Linked DNA regions of Sus scrofa. The protein of the gene in region 1 interacts with the protein of each later gene in a pairwise test. Links are inferred from orthologs where the notes say so. Each region holds a gene or a part of one and is shown in the gene's direction. Other genes may lie near its edges.

Region 1 (6,660 bases):
AGGAGACACGTTCCCTTCCCAGGGCACACAGCGACCTTGTGCTCATGCACAAGAGGAGACAGAGGCTCAGAAAGGCAGGAACCCACCGAGGAGGCCCAGGGAACCCTAGGACACTCCTGTCACTGCTCCTAGCAGCTGGCTGGGGATTGCAGCCTTGGAGGGAGCCCTGGTCCGGGCTCACGGCTGTACCCCACAGGCTCTTCTGCGTCCTGAGGTTGGCGGGGAAAGATCACTGACTGGCCCCCGCTCGGAGGAGGCGCTGCCACCGACGGGAGCTGGGACCACTCGCTTACATCTGAGCCCCTGGGAAATTTCTGCCCACACACCGCTAAGGAGAGCCAGCCTGCAGAGGTCTGCTCGGGTGACGGGGTCAGCCGCCAGAGGGGCAGGCCATTCACAGTGTGCTAAGCGGTGGCTTGGAGGAGGCACAGCCAGGGTGGGCTCCCCGAGGAGGAGGTTCCGAGCTCCGGGATGGCTGGGTGTGCACGGCAGCGAGGCTGGCATCGGGGCATCGGGACGCGTGCGGGGAGGCTCGGTGGATGGAGGATTCTGGACGCGTGAGGCCTGAGTGATTTGGCTGATCAGGGCGCTTTTAGCCAGTTTGTTACTGACATCGTGAGAGGAAGGGGCTCCCCGGTCCCCGTCCCACACACTGAAAAGGATGCCTTTGGAACCACAGAGGCCAGGGACGCCCCCAAGCACTGGGACACCCAGTATCTGAGGAGCCCCTTCAGCCCCAGTGGTCAGGGCTCTTCCTGGCCCCCCAAGACAGTCTCTCTGGGGCCATGTGGCATCTCCAGGTCCCCCACAGGCTTATATTTCTCCTTGAAATGCTCCCTTTGGGTTCCTTGGGGCCGCACTCAGAATGTCACGCACCCCCTTTGCTCGGTCTCCACGGCTCTTCTGTAAAGTGTGTGTGTGTGTGGGGGGGGGGTTGGCAGCGCCACGGTCTCAGCCACCAGCCACGCTGCGCATTGACAGCTGCCTGACCCTTGACCCCAGGCCAGACTTCTCTCCCGGACTCCAGCCTTCCCATGCAGCCCCTTCTCCACCAGGCTCCCTGTCACCCAGGCTGGAAGCCTTTCTGTTACTCTTCCTCCTGCATGTGTTTACAGACGCCCTCTGTCAAAGGTCCCCACCCGTCCCCGTCGCTGTCTGCCTTGCCTCGGGTCCCCTGTCCCCCCTCCCCCATGGCTCCTCTGCAGGCCCGGTGGCTCAGTGACACGCCTGACCTGGCTGCACATGGCCCCTCCAGCCTCCTCCCCGCCAGTTCCCTTCCGTCCTGGATCCTCTTCTTCTCCACGCCTCCTCCTCAGCCTTCATGTGCCTTCGCGGCCCGGAGTCCGCTCCCCGGCGCCTCCCCTCCAGGCCCTGCTGGCCCCCCAGGTCGCCCGTCTTGTGCGACCGTGTCCGCACAACCGCCAGCACGTGTACCTCCTGCGTGAGAACACACATTCCCAGGACTCTACCTTGGCCTCCAGCTTAATCATGACTATATTTTCAGTGAGCAGCGAGGGGCTGGCTCAGGGAGGCAGTCAGTCAATGGACAAAGGGAACTTGGACGTGGTGGGAAGCGTGGTGGGGGGAAATCACGTGTGTATGACACGGTGAAGGCGAGAGGGGCTGGGACTGGGTCCCCGTTTAGACGGCCACCCTCCGAGAACAAGAACTGTGTGGCCTTGCTCAGCAAAGGCCCCTGGATGAATGCGGCGGGTGAGGGCGGGTCAGGCACAGGTCAGCTTCCTTCCCTGGGGACGCTCGCGAGCCCGCCGAGCGCACCTCCCCCGAGTCCTTGATCGGAGGATCCAAGCGGGTCGAGGAACCCCAATTGCTTCTTTCTTTTCTTTATTGGTTTTGTTTTTTGTTTTTTAGGGCCACACCCGGGGCATGCGGAGGTTCCCAGGTTAGGGGTCCTATCGGAGCTACAGCTGCCGGCCTGCACCACAGCCACAGCAACGTGGGATTCAAGCTGTGTCTGTGACCTACACACAGCTCACAGCAACGCTGGATCTTTAACCCACTGAGTGAGGTCGGGGATTGAACCCGCGTCCTCATGGATACCACTCGGATTCGTTAACCACTGAGCCACAAAGGGAACTCGGAACTCGGAGAGAACCCGAACTTCTGACAAGCTCTCAGGCACTGCTGCTCCTGGTCCTGGGACCACACTTTGAGAGACTCTGATCTAGGGCAGTGCGGTCCAGAAGGAACCACAGCAGCCACATATGCAATCTAAAAGTATCTAGTAGCCACAGCTTTAAAACGTGAAAAGAGGAGTTCCTGTTTGTGGCTCAGAGATAACGAACCCGGCCAGCATCCATGAGGACGCGGGTGTGACCTCTGGTCTCGCTCAGCGGGTTGGGGATCCCGCGTGATTGTGAGCTGCAGAGTAGGTGGCAGATGCGGCTCTGATCCCAGGTGGCTGTGGCTGTGGCAGAGGCCAGCAGCTGCAGCTGCAGCTACGATGCAACCCCTAGCCTGGGAACTTCCATATGTCCTGGGTTGCGGCTCTTAAAAAAAAAAGGCCAAAAGAAGAAAGTGAAAAGAAGCAGGTGAAACCAACTTTGATGTATTTTACTTAACCCAATATATCCAAACTATTATTTCAACATGTAGGCAAGATATAAACATTAGGAGGTATTCTTCAGGCTCTTTTCCTGCCAGATCTTGAAGATCCATTGCGTATTTCACACTGAGACCCCGTCTCAAAACCAACTCGCAAGCCCACGGCCAGGACCGGACGAAGGAAGCGGCCCGAGAACTACACCTCCCAGCACGCTCCGGGCGCACCCTGACGCATTTCCGGCGCGGCAAAGACGGCGCGCGGCCGCGGGAGAACCACATCTCCCGGCGTGCTCCGGGCGCGCCCTGTGACGCACTTCCTGCGCGGCGGCGGCGGCAGCGCGCCCCCGGCGGCTCGGCGGCGGAGCGAGGCGACGGCTCGGTCCGCGTCGAGTGGCGGGCGGCTGGCCGACGGGAGCCGGGGCGGGGCGGCGGCTGCCAGCGAGGGAGCGCGCGGGCGGCCTAGCCCCGCCCCCGGCCCGCCCGCCCCGGTGACCTTCAGGGCCCGGGCGGCGGGCGCAGGCCCCGGCGGCGGCGGCGGCGGCGCGATGTTCGTGCAGGAGGAGAAGATCTTCGCGGGCAAGGTGCTGCGGCTGCACATCTGCGCGTCGGACGGCGCCGAGTGGCTGGAGGAGGCGACCGAGGACACCTCGGTGGAGAAGCTCAAGGAGCGCTGCCTCAAGCACGTAAGTCCGCCGCGGCTCCAGGCCTCCCCTTCCCTCGCCCCCTTTCCCTGCCGCCCCCCGACACCCGCTGGGCGCGCCTCCGCGAGCCGGCCCTGCGCCCTCCGGTTTCACCTCGACGACCGCCCGGGAGGCGGGGGCACGTCGGGGTGCAGGCGAGGCGAGGCGAAGTCGCCGCCGGAGCGGAGGCTCCTGTGCTTCCAGCATCCGTGCTCGCTGCTGGGGTGGGGGTCGTAGTGTGTCAGCAGCTCCCCGCCGCTGGGAAGTGGTGCCCGCGAAAGTAGGGGCCCGCAGGGAGAGGCGCCTTCTGCTGACCTGCGGAGCTGACTGCTTGGAGCTGTTTCCCGTTGGCTGGCGTGTGGGCCGGGGCCTGGCTTGGCCTCTCCGTAGCTCGAATCCCTTAAAATAGTGCGGCTGCGGGACTCCTCCCTGCGCCCTTGCTTCCCCGAGGCCTGTAAATTGATTACAGGGGTAGGGACAGGAGAAAGGGCTTCTCGCTGAGAGAGTCGGTTTTTAAAGTCTGTTCCCATGTAATACTCCTCGTCCAGCTCCTTAGGTTGCTAGTTTTTGGAACTGGTTCTTGGCTTTATCTCTGTAAACAACCAGCTCTGTAAGGCGGGCTAAGATATCTCTCTATCTGACCCTGGCTGAGGAAACTCTATCCTTTGCACAGTGTAGCGTCTCCATGTCAGAGTTTAGGGTAAAGGAGGCCGCAGCTTTGAGGTGGGCGTTGCGTGTGCTGAATCCCGTGTGTATGAGGTGGTCTCTGGGACCCGCCTGCAGTTGCTGCTGTGTGACTGCCCGCAAGGTGCTTTTGGGTCCTTGGTTCTGTAACTGTCAGAGGCAGGCCAGAGCCCCCTTCTGGAACCTGCAGCCTGCGAGTAACTGTCTTGGTCTCGCATCAGGGAGGCAGACCACCTGGGCTCACACCCTTGGGCAGGTGTGTTTCCAGCACTCTCTTCTCTTCTTCTGACCCAGTCGGGCGATGTCACCATCTAGAAAGCCACCCTGACGGCACTAAGCTGGCACGCTGAGCGCTCCCTGACCATCCAGGCTATTTTGTGTTGCTTGTTTAGTACGGTTTGTGAAGCCCTCCCTGCGGGCTGTGTTCCAGCTGCTGCAGAGGGAGCTCCTCGGGGGTCGGGTTTCTAGTCACACACCCGGAGCCAGACTCGGAGGGCCCAGAGCAGACGTGTGGCGGAATGGGATACGAGCCCGCCGCTCCGTCCCAGACGTCACGGTAAAGCGAGCATCACCATAGAGCTAATTCCACGAATTATCTGGTTCCCCGGTGCATGTCAAATTACCTTTACCCTGCAGTCAGTTCAGTGTGCAGTGGCATCGTGTGTAGAAAAGACGGTCCTTCCTTAAAGATAACGCTGCTGGGAAAATAGCACAATAGACTGGCTTGACAGAGGGTGCCACAAACCTTCAGTTTGCAAAAAGCACACCGTCTGGGAAGTGACATAGGGCAGGCACATAAAACGAGGCATGCCTGGACACGGACAGACCCGCGTGGACATGGCCTGTCACCTGCTGAGTCAGGCAGGGTGACGTCAGCGGGTATATTGGTGTGGCGTCTAGTTTAACTCACGGAAGGTGAGGGTGGCGTTATTTTATGGAGGGGAGCAGAAGCGGGAACTCTTTGGTTCACAGCTGGTTGCTAATGAATCTCAAGAGCACTTGGGTTTAATCAGGCTGCCGGTTTTGACATGAGGCTAATTATTATGTTCCTGATATTATTGCAGTCGGGATTTTTCCTGGCCAGATCCTGCTTTGAGCTGGGGTTTTATTCCGCTCTGCAGTCTCTCCAGGTGTGGAGGTCCAAGCAGCAGGTCCGAGTTTCACAACCAAAGGGTTGACACACGTTGCGGAACTTGGAGCTGAGCTGTCCATGTGCCGCCTCTGTGCCCATCCTGATCTGTGGGCAGAGTTTGCTGCCTCGGGAGCCAGTCAGAAGGCATCGGTTAGGGAGGAGCGTGCTCAGGTTGTGTACTTGACTGTCACCCTGGAAACCAGCCCTGTGCTTCTGTGCTGCCCCCCCCCCCGTTTCCTCTGGTGCAGCTTAAGCTGGCCTTCTTTCTTCCTTCCTTTGTCCCTCTAACCTGAGGGGACACTGTGGGTTCCCCCCCACACACGGAATGTGGCATTTTTTATTATTATTTTTAAAATTTTCCCACTGTGCAGCAAGGGGATCAGATTTTTATTATTTTGTTAATACTTTTTTGTTTGTTTGTTTTTAGGGCCACACCCACGGCACATGGAAGTTCCCAGGCTAGGGGTCGCATTGGAGCTGTGGCTGCCGGCCGACACCACAGCCACGTCAATGCTGATCCTTAACCCACTGAGCAAGGCCCAGGCTTGAACCTGCGTCCTCGTGGATAGGAGTCAGACTCGTTTTCGCTGAGCCATGACCAAGTGCCTGCGTATTTTTTAATTAACAAAGTTGCTTTATCGATGAGTTCCTATCGTAACTCTTACAGAAGTGGATTGCTCCTGTGGCTTTCCTTTCTGGGTTTATGTGAGTTGGGATCACCAGGCTTGGGGGAGGGGCAGAGTAAACCATCCTGTGTGACAGGAGTTTGATGATTTTGAGAAAATGACCCCTGTGACGTGGCGGGTTTTGTCGGTGTGTGTGGCAGCTGGCATGAAGCGGCTGGTGTGCGGCCTGCTCGTGTGGCCGTGCCCTTTTCTCAGATCACACGAAGGTGTATCTTCAAGGGCAGACCACAGCTAGCGTGAGAGAGACTGGTCTCCGTGCCGGGCAGGAGGCCAGCCGGCGGGTGTCCACCCTCCCTGCCCCCGGACGGGCTGTGCTGGGGCCCTGGGCTGCCGCTCCCGGCCTGCTGCCGGCGCCTCTGCTGAGGACAAAGGAAGGAGTGAAATTCGCACGCACAGCAAGGATGACTCATGGTGTGTTTTGCTCTGGCGGCTGTTGACACCCGCAGACTACGGTTTTTGCAGGAAGCTGCTGATGGTTTTGGAAAGTCGTGTTTCATAGACTGTATTCTGGACTTGACTGATCGGCCCGCCTGCCCATCTTAGAACGAGAAGAAGCACGCCCTGTTTCTGGGAGAGGAGCCACTGTGCGGTCACAGGGAGGGGGTCCCCTGTGCTAAAGCCTGCCGGGGGCTGCCGTCCCCTTCGTCCTCCCGCTCACGCCTGCCCAGCCCTGTGTGCGCACTGACAGCCCCTGGGAGTCTGTGTGACCCTCTTTTCCTGTTTCCGGCGGTAGATTTGCCAGAACTCCTGCCTGCTCTTGAGGCCGGCGCAGGGAGGTGAGGGGCCGGTTTCCCTCCTGGGAGCTCGGACGCGTGTGGCGGATCTTTGAGCGCTGGCAGCAGAGCGGGGTGTAAAGTTGCTCTGATGACCGAGGGGGCCGTGGGGACGCTGGCCCTGGGGCCCTGGGGGGGGC
Region 2 (5,899 bases), on another chromosome or scaffold:
ATAGTAATTTTGATTTGCATTTCTCTAAATAATTAGTGGTGTTGAACATCTTTTCATGTGTTTTTTGGCCATCTGTATGTCTTCTTTGGAACATTGTCTGTTTAGATGTTCTGCCCATTTTTTGATTGTGTGGTTTGCTTTTTTGATATTGAGCTGCAGGAGGTGTTTGTATATTTTTGAGATTAATCCCTTGTCAGTCGCTTCATTTGCAAATATTTTCTCCCATTCTCTGGGTTGTCTTTTTGTTTTGTTTATGGTTTCTTATGCTGTGCAAAAACTTCTGAGTTGAAGTAGGTCCCATTTATTTTTGTTTTTATTTTCATCACTGTAGGAGGTGGATCTCCTCTTGCTACAGTTTATGTCAGAGAGTGTTCTGCTTATGTTTCCCTCTAAAAGTTTTATGGTGTCTGGTCTTACATTTAGGTCTTTAATCCATTTTGAGTTTATTATTGTGTATAGTTGTTAAAGAGTGTTCTAATTTCATTCTTATACAGGTAGCTGTCCAGTTTTCCCAGCACCTCTTACTGAAGAGACGTTTTTCCCTCCATTGTATGTTCTTGCCTCCTTTGTCCTAGATGAGCTGATCATAGAAAACTTTTTTTTTCCCTTGGCTTCCCCGAGGCGTATGGCCAAGGATCACATTCACGCACAATTGCAACCCCAGCTGCAGCAGCAGCAATGCCAGATCTTTAACCCACTGTGCCAGGCCGAGGCTCGAAACTGTGTCCCAGTCCTTCCAAGATGCCACTGATCCCACTGCGCCACAGCAGGAACTCCATATAGAAAACTGGGGTTTTTTTTTGGGGGGGGGTGTCTTTTTTTTTCCTAGAGCTGCACCCTCAGCGTATGGAGGTTCCCAGGCTAGGGATCTAATCTGAGCTGTAGCCACCGGCCTACCCCGGGGCCACAGAAACTAGGGATCGTCTGTGGCCTACACCACAGCTCACGGCAATGCTGAATCCTTAACCCACTGAGCGAGGCCAAGGATCAGACCTGCCACCTCATGGTTCCTAGTCAGATTCTTTAACCACTGAGCCATGATGGAAACTTCCTAGAAAACTTTTTTTTTTTTTTTTTTTGTCTTTTTGCCATTTTCTTGGGCTACTCCCACGGCATATGGAGGTTCCCAGGCTAGGGGTCCAATCGGAGCTGTAGCCACCGGCCTACACCAGAGCCACAGCAATGCAGGATCCGAGCCACATCTGCGACCTTCACCACAGCTCACAGCAACGTCAATCCTTAACCCACTGAGCAAGACCAGGGATCAAACCCACAACCTCATGGTTCCTAGTCAGATTCGTTAACCACTGAGCTACGCGGGAACTCCTAGAAAACTGTTTTTAATTGTGAATGTAAATACAAACTTTTTCCCATCCCTTAAAGTTTTCCTGACAAACAATAGCTGCTTTTCATCTAAATTCTCCAGTTCCATACAGTTCAACCAGTAAGAATTTCAGTGAATCCATAACATTGATACCCAAGTAATAGAAAAAATTCAGAATGTACATTTATCTGGTATTCATCAGTATGTTTATTACTTTTTAAATTAGCAAGTAAAAATAGGGATTCAGTGTAATTTTCTTGTCTTTTTTTTTTTTTTTTTTTTTTTTTTGCTATTTCTTGGGGCATATGGAGGTTCCCAGGCTAGGGGTCAAATCAGAGCTGTAGCCACCAGCCTACGCCAGAGCCACAGCAACGTGGGATCCAAGCCGCATCTGCAACCTACACCACAGCTCACAGCAATGCCGGATCCTTAACCCACTGAGCGAGGGCAGGGACTGAACCCTCAACCTCATGGTTCCTAGTCGGATTCGTTAACCACTGCACCACGATGGGAACTTCCATTTTCTTTTATCTATTAATTTGGGTTTTCCCCCTGATCCGTAAATGTTTTAATTCCTTGGTAGGTCATTTATAATGTGTGACTAGAGAATTTATTTTTTAAACATTACATTTGAATCAGTAGGCAGGTGTGGGATTTGGAAGCAGTATCAAAGTAACATCATTTATTTTTGCAGACTTTGTAATTTTCTTCTGGAAAATCCAGATTATCCAAAGAGAGAAGATAGAATCATTATCAACCCCAATAGCAGCCTGCTTGCCAGCCATGATGAGACAAAGGCAAGTTGTGCTCTTGTTTTGGAGTGTCTTCCTGGAAATGCTCTGCTCCTTTCGTCGTTTGTATGGGAATCAAGTGCTTTGTCAGGATGCTTTTTTTTTACAGCTGTCCAGGAGAATAGCATTTCAGAATATATTTATATTCCAGTAATAAGTATATGTGTGTATTTATATATATTTCTGAGCCACTTTGAATTCTGTATTTGGCTGCTTTCATTGCACCCCTGTCTTTCCTTCCCCACAAGGAATTAAACGAATCTTCCACATCTCTAATCCTACAAAGCAAGTACCTAAGATGAAACAAGAATTGGCTGGGATTCTTTGGATCATTTTAGGTTTTAACATTTTATTTTGAAAATTTTCAAACATACAGTAAAGGCAAAGGAATTCTCCTTTGATTACCTATATACCCCCAGCAGTACTATTAAAAATGAACGTTTTACTGTGTCCATTTTGTCACACATCCATCCCTCAGGATTTATATTTTATTTTATTATAATGCATTTCAAAGTAAATGCAAAAACATCACTGTGCTGTGCCGTAAATACTTGAGCATGCAGATTATTGCCTAGAGTTGAATATCTGTCTATAGCTATTCTTTTTTGTGTAAGACTTATATACAGTGCATCCACCTATGTAACCAAATCCCATATCAAGGTATATAAACAGTTGGGTTTTTAAAAACCTTAATCACTGTCTTCATTTGTTCTTTTGTTTGTTTTGGGTTTTGTTTTTTTGTTTTTTTGTTTTTTCTTTTGCCTTTTTAGGGCCACGCCCACGGCATGCGGGTGTTCCCAGGCTAGGAGTCTAATCGGAGCTGTAGCTGCCGGCCTATGCTACAGCCACAGCAACGCCAGATCTAAGCCTCGTCTGTGACCTACACCACAGCTCACTGCAACACCGGATCCTTAACCCACTGAGCAAGGCCAGGGATCGAACCTGCAACCTCATGGTTCCTAGTTGGACTCGTTTCCACTGCGCCAAGACGGAAATTCCCATTGTCTTCATTTGTGATCCAAACTAGCATTTATTGTCCTAAGTGGTGGAAGGAAGGTATAGTTTAGAACTGCTTCACTGGAATCTATTGTTTGATACTTCTTCTTCCCCACAAATTCTTTTTGGCTATTCCTTTTATGTACAGGCATTACTCATTTTGCTACTCTTCATTTTATTGCACTTTGCAGATGTTACGATTTTTTTTTTTTTTTAGCAAATTGAAGGTTTGTGGCAGCCCTGCATTGAGTAAGTCGGTCATTGCCACTTTTCCCATAGCTTGGTCTCTATATTACTTTTTGGTAATTTTCACAATATTTCAGACTTTTTCATTATTATATTTGTTGTGGTGACCTGTGATCAGTGACTTGATGTTGCTATTGAGAAAAGGTTGACTTGCTGAAAGCTCAGATGATATTTAGCATTTTTTAGCAGTAAAGTATTTCTTAATTGAGATATGTACTTTTTTTAGACATATGCTTTTGCACACTTAATAGACTACAGTATGGTATAAATGTAACTATAACTTTTCTATGAACTGGGAAACCAGAAGATTTGTCTGACTTGGAAGTCTATTTCAGTGATCTGGAATCAAACCTGCATTATCTCCAAAGTATGCCTATATTTTTCAGCTAGAAAAAAAAAAAGTCCTTTTTTCTCAGCATTTTGTGGAAAGAAAATGGCTAAAAGATTGGGTTTAAATCCCCAGCTCTACTTTTTCATAGTTCCAACTAGTAAAACTAGTCTCCAGACTCCAGACAGGCTGTATAATCTTTCTGAACCACCATTTCTTCATCTCTCTTCAGGGCTGGTATCTTCCTTAAGCGTAATTATGAGTACAAGTCAGATTAATCTGTTCTGTAAGAGGTAATTCTTCAAATGATTTCCTCCTCCCGGCAAATGCACCATCTGCCTCTAATGGTGTACCTGTCTCTCGTTTCAGTTGCCTAAGATAGACTTTTTTGACTACTCTAAATTGGCTCCTCTTGACCAGCGCTGCTTCATCCAAGCTGCTGACCTCCTGATGGCCGACTTCAAAATGCTGAGCAGTCAGGACATCAAGTGGGCCCTGCATGAGCTCAAAGGACACTATGCAATCACCCGAAAGGTGCTCTACCTGTCTCCCTAGTGGGCTCATACCTCTTGATTGCTTCTTCCGGTGGTAACAGAATGAAGAGTTCAGCTTGTGGAAATTGGGATGGTTTATGATGGCAGAGAGCAAAGGAGTTTGGCAGGGTGAAGATACATAGACAAAGGTATTTGCTGATCAGGAAGAACCGAATGAAAAGAAATACAGACTAGAAGCAGGGCAGTTCTGTTTTGACCGTAAAGACACGGAGGATGATGAATTTTACTGCGGAATGAAGGATTACTAGAGTATAACAAACATGTTCCAGCGCTGCTCCTCCTTGATTTGCTTTCTGACTTGGGGCTGGTCACACCATCCTTCCCCTGATAGCTCAGTTGCTAGTTGCATGAAGTAGGGTCTGTAAAGGGCCCAGGAACCCATCACTGCCCAAGGAGTGGTGGTTTGTCGCAGAAGAGAATGAGCAGCTACTGAAAGCTCTCAAGGATTTTTTTTTTTTTTTTTTTTTTTTCCCCTTTGAGGCCCTAGGTAAGATTCTGTTGAGTGCCTTTGTTCCAAGATTTCAGACGGGTGCTGGTCCCTGGTGGGTAACACCCATGCTCCATTTAGTGACGTCCTCTGTGTGGTGCCCATTTCATGGCGGTCTGTCAGAACAGAGAAGCCTCTTCTCTCTCCTGCGCAAGTTCTAGTGATTCTCAGCAAACAGTGTGCTTTTCTTTCCAGAAGGCAAGCAAATGTGGAGTTACTTTAATGGTTAAGACAGCCACTGGGTCTTAACTTGAAAGACAGTGAACCTCAGGTGAATCTGCCGTGTTTATACCCCTTCCACCTGTGGATCACCAAGATCCAGGCAGTCGTCCACAGACTCCTAAATGTAGGCTCATTTTTGGTAAAATTACTCTGAAGGAAACACACAGTGCATCCTGTTTCCGAATCTCATTCCCCATACTAAATAGGGAATGCCTGCCCTGTCGTTGAAAAAGAATGACTCTTCCCTGTCCCCGCACTCCCCCCACCCCCCAGTAGTGACCTGAGAAAGAAAAGGCTCTGTCCTCTTTATGCCCTGCGTGGCATCTTTACTGATCCTGTGGTGCCGCACAGCTTCTCTGAGCTCCCAGGGAGCCGCATGAAAAGTGAGAGGGCAGCACGCAGCAGGAAATAGCGCCTGCGGTCTGGGTATGGTTGGTCCTCATTAGACATGTCCTTGCTACCACCCAGGCATCAGTAAAAGGAACTTTGCTTTCAGATGCTTCTCCCCACTGAATGCCTAATCGTCCCAGAGCCTGCTAGTTATTTGGATGGGAGGTTGTAGGGTTTTGTGCCTTAGTTCTTGTTCATGCCTTCCTTATCTCTGACCGTGTTTTTCTGGCCTTTCATGTTTTTTATGGTGTCTGCTGGTTTTGGTGGGTAATTTTTAAATTTACAGGACTTTTGGAAAAAAGGGTTGTGAAATTTGAATGAGCATAAGGTGTTAAGGAGAAATAATGTTTGGCAGAAGCTAAAATCTGATGTGCTCAGTTAGAACTTGGAGCCTTTCCCTGCTGTCTCCATGTGGTACATGAGAGTTCGGCCTTGTAGGAAGTGACGCTCACGTGGTCAGGGCCATAGAAAACGCACCCGGAGATGCTTCCTGGTTATAGCAGTAGCACGTCTTCCCCGTGCCGCTCCCCGAACATGACAGCTGAGGGAAGGTGTGCTGAC
Region 3 (6,465 bases), on another chromosome or scaffold:
AAACCCTCCAAATATAGATAATAAAAGAGCACAAAACCACACAGCCTAAGAGAAAAAAATTGTGAGTATTCAGGTGGGAAAAAAAAAACCCAATGACCTTCAAAAATACAGTCAGACTAAGAAGTGATTTTTCACAGATAGCAACAGAAGTCTTAGAATAGGATTTTTTTTTTTTTTTTTTTTTGCTTTTTAGGGTTGCACAGGTGGCATATGGAGGTTCCCAGGTTAGGGGTTGAATCAGAGCTGCAGCTGCTGGCCTCCACCACTGCTCAAGGCAACACCGGATCCTTAACCTACTGAGTGAGGCCAGGGATCAAACCTTCAACCTCATGGTTCCTAGTCGGATTTGTTCCGCTGTGCCATAAAGGGAACTCCCTAGAATGATTTTTAAACTACTGAAAGAACATAAACTGCTTTCATCATCTTGTCTCCTGACCCTTGCCTTGCCCTTTCACTTATAAGGACTCACCAAGAAATCCAGGATAATCTCCCTTTCCCAAGATCCTTAACTTAATCACACCTGCAAAGTCTGTTTTGGAATGTAAGGTAACATATTCACAGATTCCAGGGATTGAGATGTGGCCGTCTATGATGGGCCATTATTGTGCCTGCCACATTACTAATCTAAAACATGCTCTTACCCTTCATCAGGAGTGGCTTTCTTCTGTAAAGCCCTAAGCAAAAAACGAAGAAAGTGTGTTGCCAAGAAGCAGAAGGCATTTTTCATATGACTTCGTTTAAAGCACTATTAACTTTCAACATTGGTGAGGTAAATATTACTACTTCAACTTTAAAGATTCTGAGATTGAACATGAGAGAGGTTAGGTAACTTGACTGAGGTCATCTAGCCAGTAAAGTGTCTGACTAGAAATTTGTATCCAGATCACCTGGCTGGTCTTGATGACTCCAACCAAGCCTTTCCCATCGTGCCAAGTATAGATATCACTTGGCTTATCATGATTTCTGGGCAGTATGCATCTTATGAAACAGTCTAACTTGGATTTTAAAAAGGGTGAAAAGAAGTAAAGAATGGGAGGTTTCAAGCTGGAGAGACAACTTTGGATAAAGTACAGTAGTCCTCACTTACCTGAGGGCATATATTCCAAGATCCTTAGTGGATGCCTGAAATTGTGGATAGTACTAAACTCTACATATACTGTTTTTTCCTCTATTAACAGGTACGGTGTAAGAGGTGCTAAACAGAGAGATGATTCACTTCCAGGGCTGGTTGGAGTGGGATGGCTAGAGATTTCAAGACTCTACTCACAGAGTTCCCATCCTGGCTCAGTGGTTAATGAATCTGACTAGGAATCATGAGGTTGCAGGTTCAATCCCTGGCTTTCCGCAGTGGGTTAAGGATCTGAACCTTCTTTAAGGAGGGACTACTACATTCATTGGCAGCAAATGCTTTCCTTATTAACCCGAGACTCGGATACACTATTTAGCTTCTTTAGGCCTCAGTTACCTCTCTCATCTGTAAAATTAGATATTTGGACCTAATGACACCTTTTCCAGTTCCCTCTCCGATATTCTGTGATTCTAAGAGGCCCCTCGCTTCAACATACCTCTACCTTACTGTGGTGGTGGGAAGGGGAGGGGGGACGAACCCCAGAAGGACTGCCTTCGTGTTAACGGCATTTCAATTACTCCAGAGAAAACCAACTGCAGATCAAAGGAGGAAAAAATGAAAGGCAATGAAGGGAGGAAGAAGAGATTAAAGAAGAGGAGGGAGATACCAATGGAAAGATAAACAGCATGCAAATAACCTAAGTAGCATGCAAATAACTCAAGATAACCTTCTAGGGTACCTAGTTTTTACAAGGCAACCCTATCTCAGTAGCCCTCTGAAGATACAGGGGTAAGACACTGCTCTCTTCCCAAGGCGCTCACAGAAAGCGGGGTTACACTTCGTATTTCATCTTGGACCTAAAACTTCCACCTCTCTAAAAACCCTGGCTGTGAGAAATATAAGAAAAGCCGACAAATGCAAATATTACCAAACGTTTGAGAGTGCCAGAGCTCCGAGACAACAGTCTCTGGAAACAAGTGGGACCACCCCCTGCCCCGCCCCCCGAGCCTAACCCAGACACACAAAAGAAACCGCCGGTGCACTGGGAGCTGCAGATTCCGCTCTCGGCGGGCCGAGCCGGCAGCGGCTGAGGAGCCCGGCGCCCCCGGCCGCCCCCGCCTCGGCCCTTGGGCCTCGGAAGTGACGCAGCGCGCCCCGCCCCCGCCGCTAGATCCGCTGCTGCTGCCGCGGCTGGCGGACCTGCAGGAGGCGGCGGCGGCGGCGGCGGCCGAGGCCGAGGGAAGATGGCGGACGGTGTGGACCACATAGACATTTACGCGGATGTGGGCGAAGAGTTCAACCAGGTACGTGAGGGCCCGGGCTCACGCCGCCGAGTTGGGCGGCGCTACGGGCGGGAAGAGGACTCGGGGCCCGCCGCGGGCCGCGAGCCGGCGTGGCTGCAGACCGTGCGCCCTTGGCGCCTGTGGGCCGCGCCGCCCGACCCCGGCGCGGCGCCCCCCTTGCCCGTCGTTCTACCGCGTCGTTTCACGGGCCGCGGGCGCGGCGACCTGCCACGGGGCTCCGAGCGCGGACGCCGGCCGCCGTGCAGCCACCTCCTGCCCCTCCCGCGCCTCCGCCTCGCTCTCCATTGTTGGCGGCGGCCGGCGGGCGCTTCCCGCCGCGCTAGGCCCGGGCGGCAGGACGGCGTGTGCGCGGCGGGGAGAACGGCGGCCCCGGCGCCCCCTCCCCCGCCGCCGGGGCGAGGAGGAAGCCCGGCGGGGCGCGCGCCGGCCGCCGCCTCGCCCCCAGCCCTGCCGCTCGGACTCCGATTCCTCCAGTCGCTCCATTTTGTCTGCCTTTCGGTGCACGGTCGCCTCATGGAAGGCCGCGTTCACGGCCCTTTGTATCCCGCGCGCCCTGCTTCCTGGGCTCTCCTGCTCGCGTTTGCGACAGGTTTCGGCGTGGTGCCTTCCTCCTCCTCCCTTCACTCTTTAGGAAGGAGGCTAAGGTGCGGGCACGTTTGCAACAAGTCCTTTGACTTGGGATCGTGTGTGAAAGTCGGTGGCGCTGGCCCTGCCCCGGTGGTCGAGGGCTTACGGTGCCTTTGAGGCCCAGCTGCTCTTGGCCTTTGTGATGAAAATACCAGTTAGATCGGTGGCTCGGGCCAAAAGGAAGACTTGGAAGCGCGATGGTTGGATGGAATAAAAAAGGTAGCTCACCAAGAGATCAGAGTTGTGATTAAAGAATTTCACACGCATTTCATATGGTATAGTTTTAAAATAAAGGTTGTAGCAATGAACCGATTTCCAAAAGCAAAATGTTTAGTGTCCTCCGAGGAGTTAAGAGAGGCCAGAGAAAGTGAGAATGCAAGGTTTTTTTTCTTGTATCGCAGGCCGCAGTTGCCTAGAAGGACTAGCCGCAGGAGCTGTGATGTCTGATGTTGAGCATCCTTGTAAAAGGTTGTTACTAGAGTAGTGACGTTTAAGCTGTAAACCTACTGTTCACATTTTTACTGCCTTTTATGTAGCAACACATTTTAAAAAAATCAAATTGTGCCCGACTGCAGTGTACGTAAAGGCTTTATTTTTTTCATATTTTCCAAGTCCTTATGAGAAGCTCAGTAAAATTCTACTGGTTAATGTGTTTTTGTGGGTTTCGAAAAAACCCTCTCCATTAAGACTCTTATTTGTGACGCAAGATTTTTTTTTTTTTTTAATAGAGAAAGCTGGAAATCCTTGCAGGTCTTTTTTTGAAGATTGATTGTATCCCTGTTTTAAATATTAGAAAAAAAATTCAGTTAGCTTTAATGTTTCCTATTCCGTTTATATATTTAAATGTAACCCGTTGTAATCAAACGTGAAGTTTGAAAATCTGTCTTCTTTTTATTGTGTTTACATTTTGGATATGTGATTCCTGAGATGTGTCAATGACATTTTAGAAAATTACCTTGAGTGCTACATGGTCAGATTCTAAGCTTTTTTAAGGTCTGTAGACAAAGACTTCTAGGAAATTTCCTTTCCTTTTATTAAATGAGTATAACATTGCATAGAAAAGAGGTCCATATCTGCAAGTAAAGGAACAATTAAGTGTTCAACAGTCTTCGTTAGCTTTCTTACAAGAAAATTTACTGTTTTTCTCCCCATGTTAAAAGAAGAATTGAGCTACACTTTTAGAAGTTGAGCTTTCTTCAGAACCTTTTAATGGAACATTTTTTAAGCTTTGGCATACTTAATTTGGGATGGACATTTCTCTAATCTGTATAGCTGGATGGAGTGATACTTGCTTATCCCTGTGCAGTAACTAGTGCTGACTGAGCAGGAGGTAAGGAGAGATTAAAATTTTGTGGCACCAATGAGGAACTGCTTTATAGGGTTCTTGTAAAAATGTAACTTTTTGTTGACTTGTTCCTATAGCATATGTTTCTCACATAGTTGTATGATTTTACCAATAAAATCTTTGTACTTTTGAATAGGTTAATGGAATTAAATAGAGGCTTTGTTGTTGTTATTGTGCATTGATTGGCCTTTGCAATCTACTGCTTGCTGTGGTAGTTCCTGGTTGAAATATGGCCACAAAAAGATGGTTGGTTGTTTTCAAGGTTTGTCCTTCATTTAAAAAAATGTAGGTATCATTGAAATATTTTTCTGAAATCTTGTCAGAATTAGAAGCAACTACAGAATTACTGTGATTGATTTAATTCACTTTCTAATTCGCTGGCAACCTTACTTCTACTGGTTGCTCTAGTAAAGTGACTCTTATTTTGTTGTAGTCGAGTAAAATGTTTTGCTAAATATAATGGGTCATGGCTTATTTTGACTTCTAAACTACTGTAAACATTTAAAAACAACCTTTAATTAAACTGTATTCTCTTAAATTCTTTGTAGTTTATGTATTTTCCATTTTCTTCTGTTTTAAATGGCCATACTTTTATGATCCTTTTTTCCATGTGTGTATTTTGGTAAAGCTCATTATAAACCTGTTGCAGAAAGTGTAAGACATTACATTTTTTGTCTTAGAAGAAACTTTAATTTGGGGATGGTGTGAGAATAAGTTAGTGAAAGTATAGTGTAGTTCCTTTCTTCACCAGGTGAATTAAGAATGGAGAATGAAATTGGAGGAGAGAAGGCACAGGGACTCCGCTATTCTTTATAGATGCTCTTTAGTTCTTTAAACTGAAGGTCTTTGGATGTAACCAAATCGAGAACAGTTGCCCCAGTGGAAGAAGGATTTGAAGTACTTGCAAACCTCCGCATTACTTGAATTCACTTTGAACTGAGATTTGTACTCAAATGTAGTAGTTACTAGCCTAATATTTAATATTTATAGACTTTTATTTTCACCAAAACAAGATAAAAAAATTTAAACCATATTGTTCTGTATACATTTCTTGAGTATACATCCCGCCCATCAGGAGGGATATAAATTTTGGGTAGTCTCCCCTTGGATTATACTGTAGTGGGGTTGAGAGACACCTACCTAATTATAACACCCTGACAGATGATGTATTATAATAAACCACTCCTTTATGTGTATCTTTATCTGTAGAATGTTGTTGGCAGAGGAGAGCAAAGATGAATTCTGTGAACATGAGGAAAGCTTATGCTAGGTGCATTGATGTAGTGTTATTTTGTTTGTTTGGAGAGCCAAAGGTCCTAGTTAGGATTCAGTTATTGATGTACTTGGTGGTAGGTGACTGATAGCAGTGCTCACTTAGTAATTTGAGCATTCAACTTTAAAGTGATTTAAAATGAAAATGTATAAACGTAGTAGAAAAAATTTATTTCGAAGTTATGGACTTAGACATCCTTATAAATCAGCTTGCCTTTATTTTTTAATTTTTAATTGCCTTTATTTTTTTGCCTTTATATTTATAATGTTTCTATTCTAGTCAATGCCTAGCTCATTTTGGAAAATTAGTTTATCAGACAAATCTCAGTGGAATCTTAGTTCTAATAAATTTATGTTGAATAGCGTACCCTCTAAGATAAGGCTTGTAAGGTGGAAATTGAGGTAGGTAGAAGTTCAGAAACTTGGGTAGAAATGTTTAGGGGAGCTAGAGCTCTCCTTACTCAATTTTATTATTTATGAGTAGTTCATTCAGTTTTCCACTTTGTGGTTTTATGTGGCATATTTTTAGTACCAAGTTGGCTTCCTTATCATTAGTTGAACTTTTATAGGGATTACAAATTAATTTTAATATCTACTTGGAACATAACAAAGTGAGAAATGAAATATTTTTTAAAAAGCCAAATGCATATTAGACAAACTACTATTGGATTTTGCATGCTAGTGTATTTTTCTTCCATGGTATAGAATACATTCTGTAAATGCAAAATATAACCTATCCCTGCTTTTATTTCTCTAAATGGAAATGACAATTGCATTTCTTTCTTTTTTTCTTTTTACTTTTTTTTTTCCTTCCCCAAATGGAGGAGCTTTGAAACAAGCGGCCTTTG

Evidence for each region.
Region 2: the proteins of UBAC1 (region 1) and RNF216 interact in binary tests that used the Homo sapiens proteins (3 or more experiments, as listed by UniProt). The link is inferred for Sus scrofa from reciprocal best matches to the Homo sapiens genes UBAC1 and RNF216.
Region 3: the proteins of UBAC1 (region 1) and CPSF6 interact in a two-hybrid assay, tested with the Homo sapiens proteins (2 studies listed by BioGRID and IntAct). The link is inferred for Sus scrofa from reciprocal best matches to the Homo sapiens genes UBAC1 and CPSF6.

The regions. Positions count from the first base shown.
Region 1 is NW_018084833.1:1,654,260-1,660,919, forward strand, and holds the start of UBAC1 (ubiquitin-associated domain-containing protein 1), read left to right. Parts: upstream 1-3,074; 5' UTR 3,075-3,110; coding exon 3,111-3,248; intron 3,249-6,660.
Region 2 is NC_010445.4:4,275,700-4,281,598, reverse strand, and holds part of RNF216 (E3 ubiquitin-protein ligase RNF216), read left to right. Parts: intron 1-2,018; coding exon 2,019-2,121; intron 2,122-4,054; coding exon 4,055-4,219; intron 4,220-5,899.
Region 3 is NC_010447.5:33,523,451-33,529,915, forward strand, and holds the start of CPSF6 (cleavage and polyadenylation specificity factor subunit 6), read left to right. Parts: upstream 1-2,217; 5' UTR 2,218-2,313; coding exon 2,314-2,373; intron 2,374-6,465. UniProt on the Homo sapiens protein: Component of the cleavage factor Im (CFIm) complex that functions as an activator of the pre-mRNA 3'-end cleavage and polyadenylation processing required for the maturation of pre-mRNA into functional mRNAs.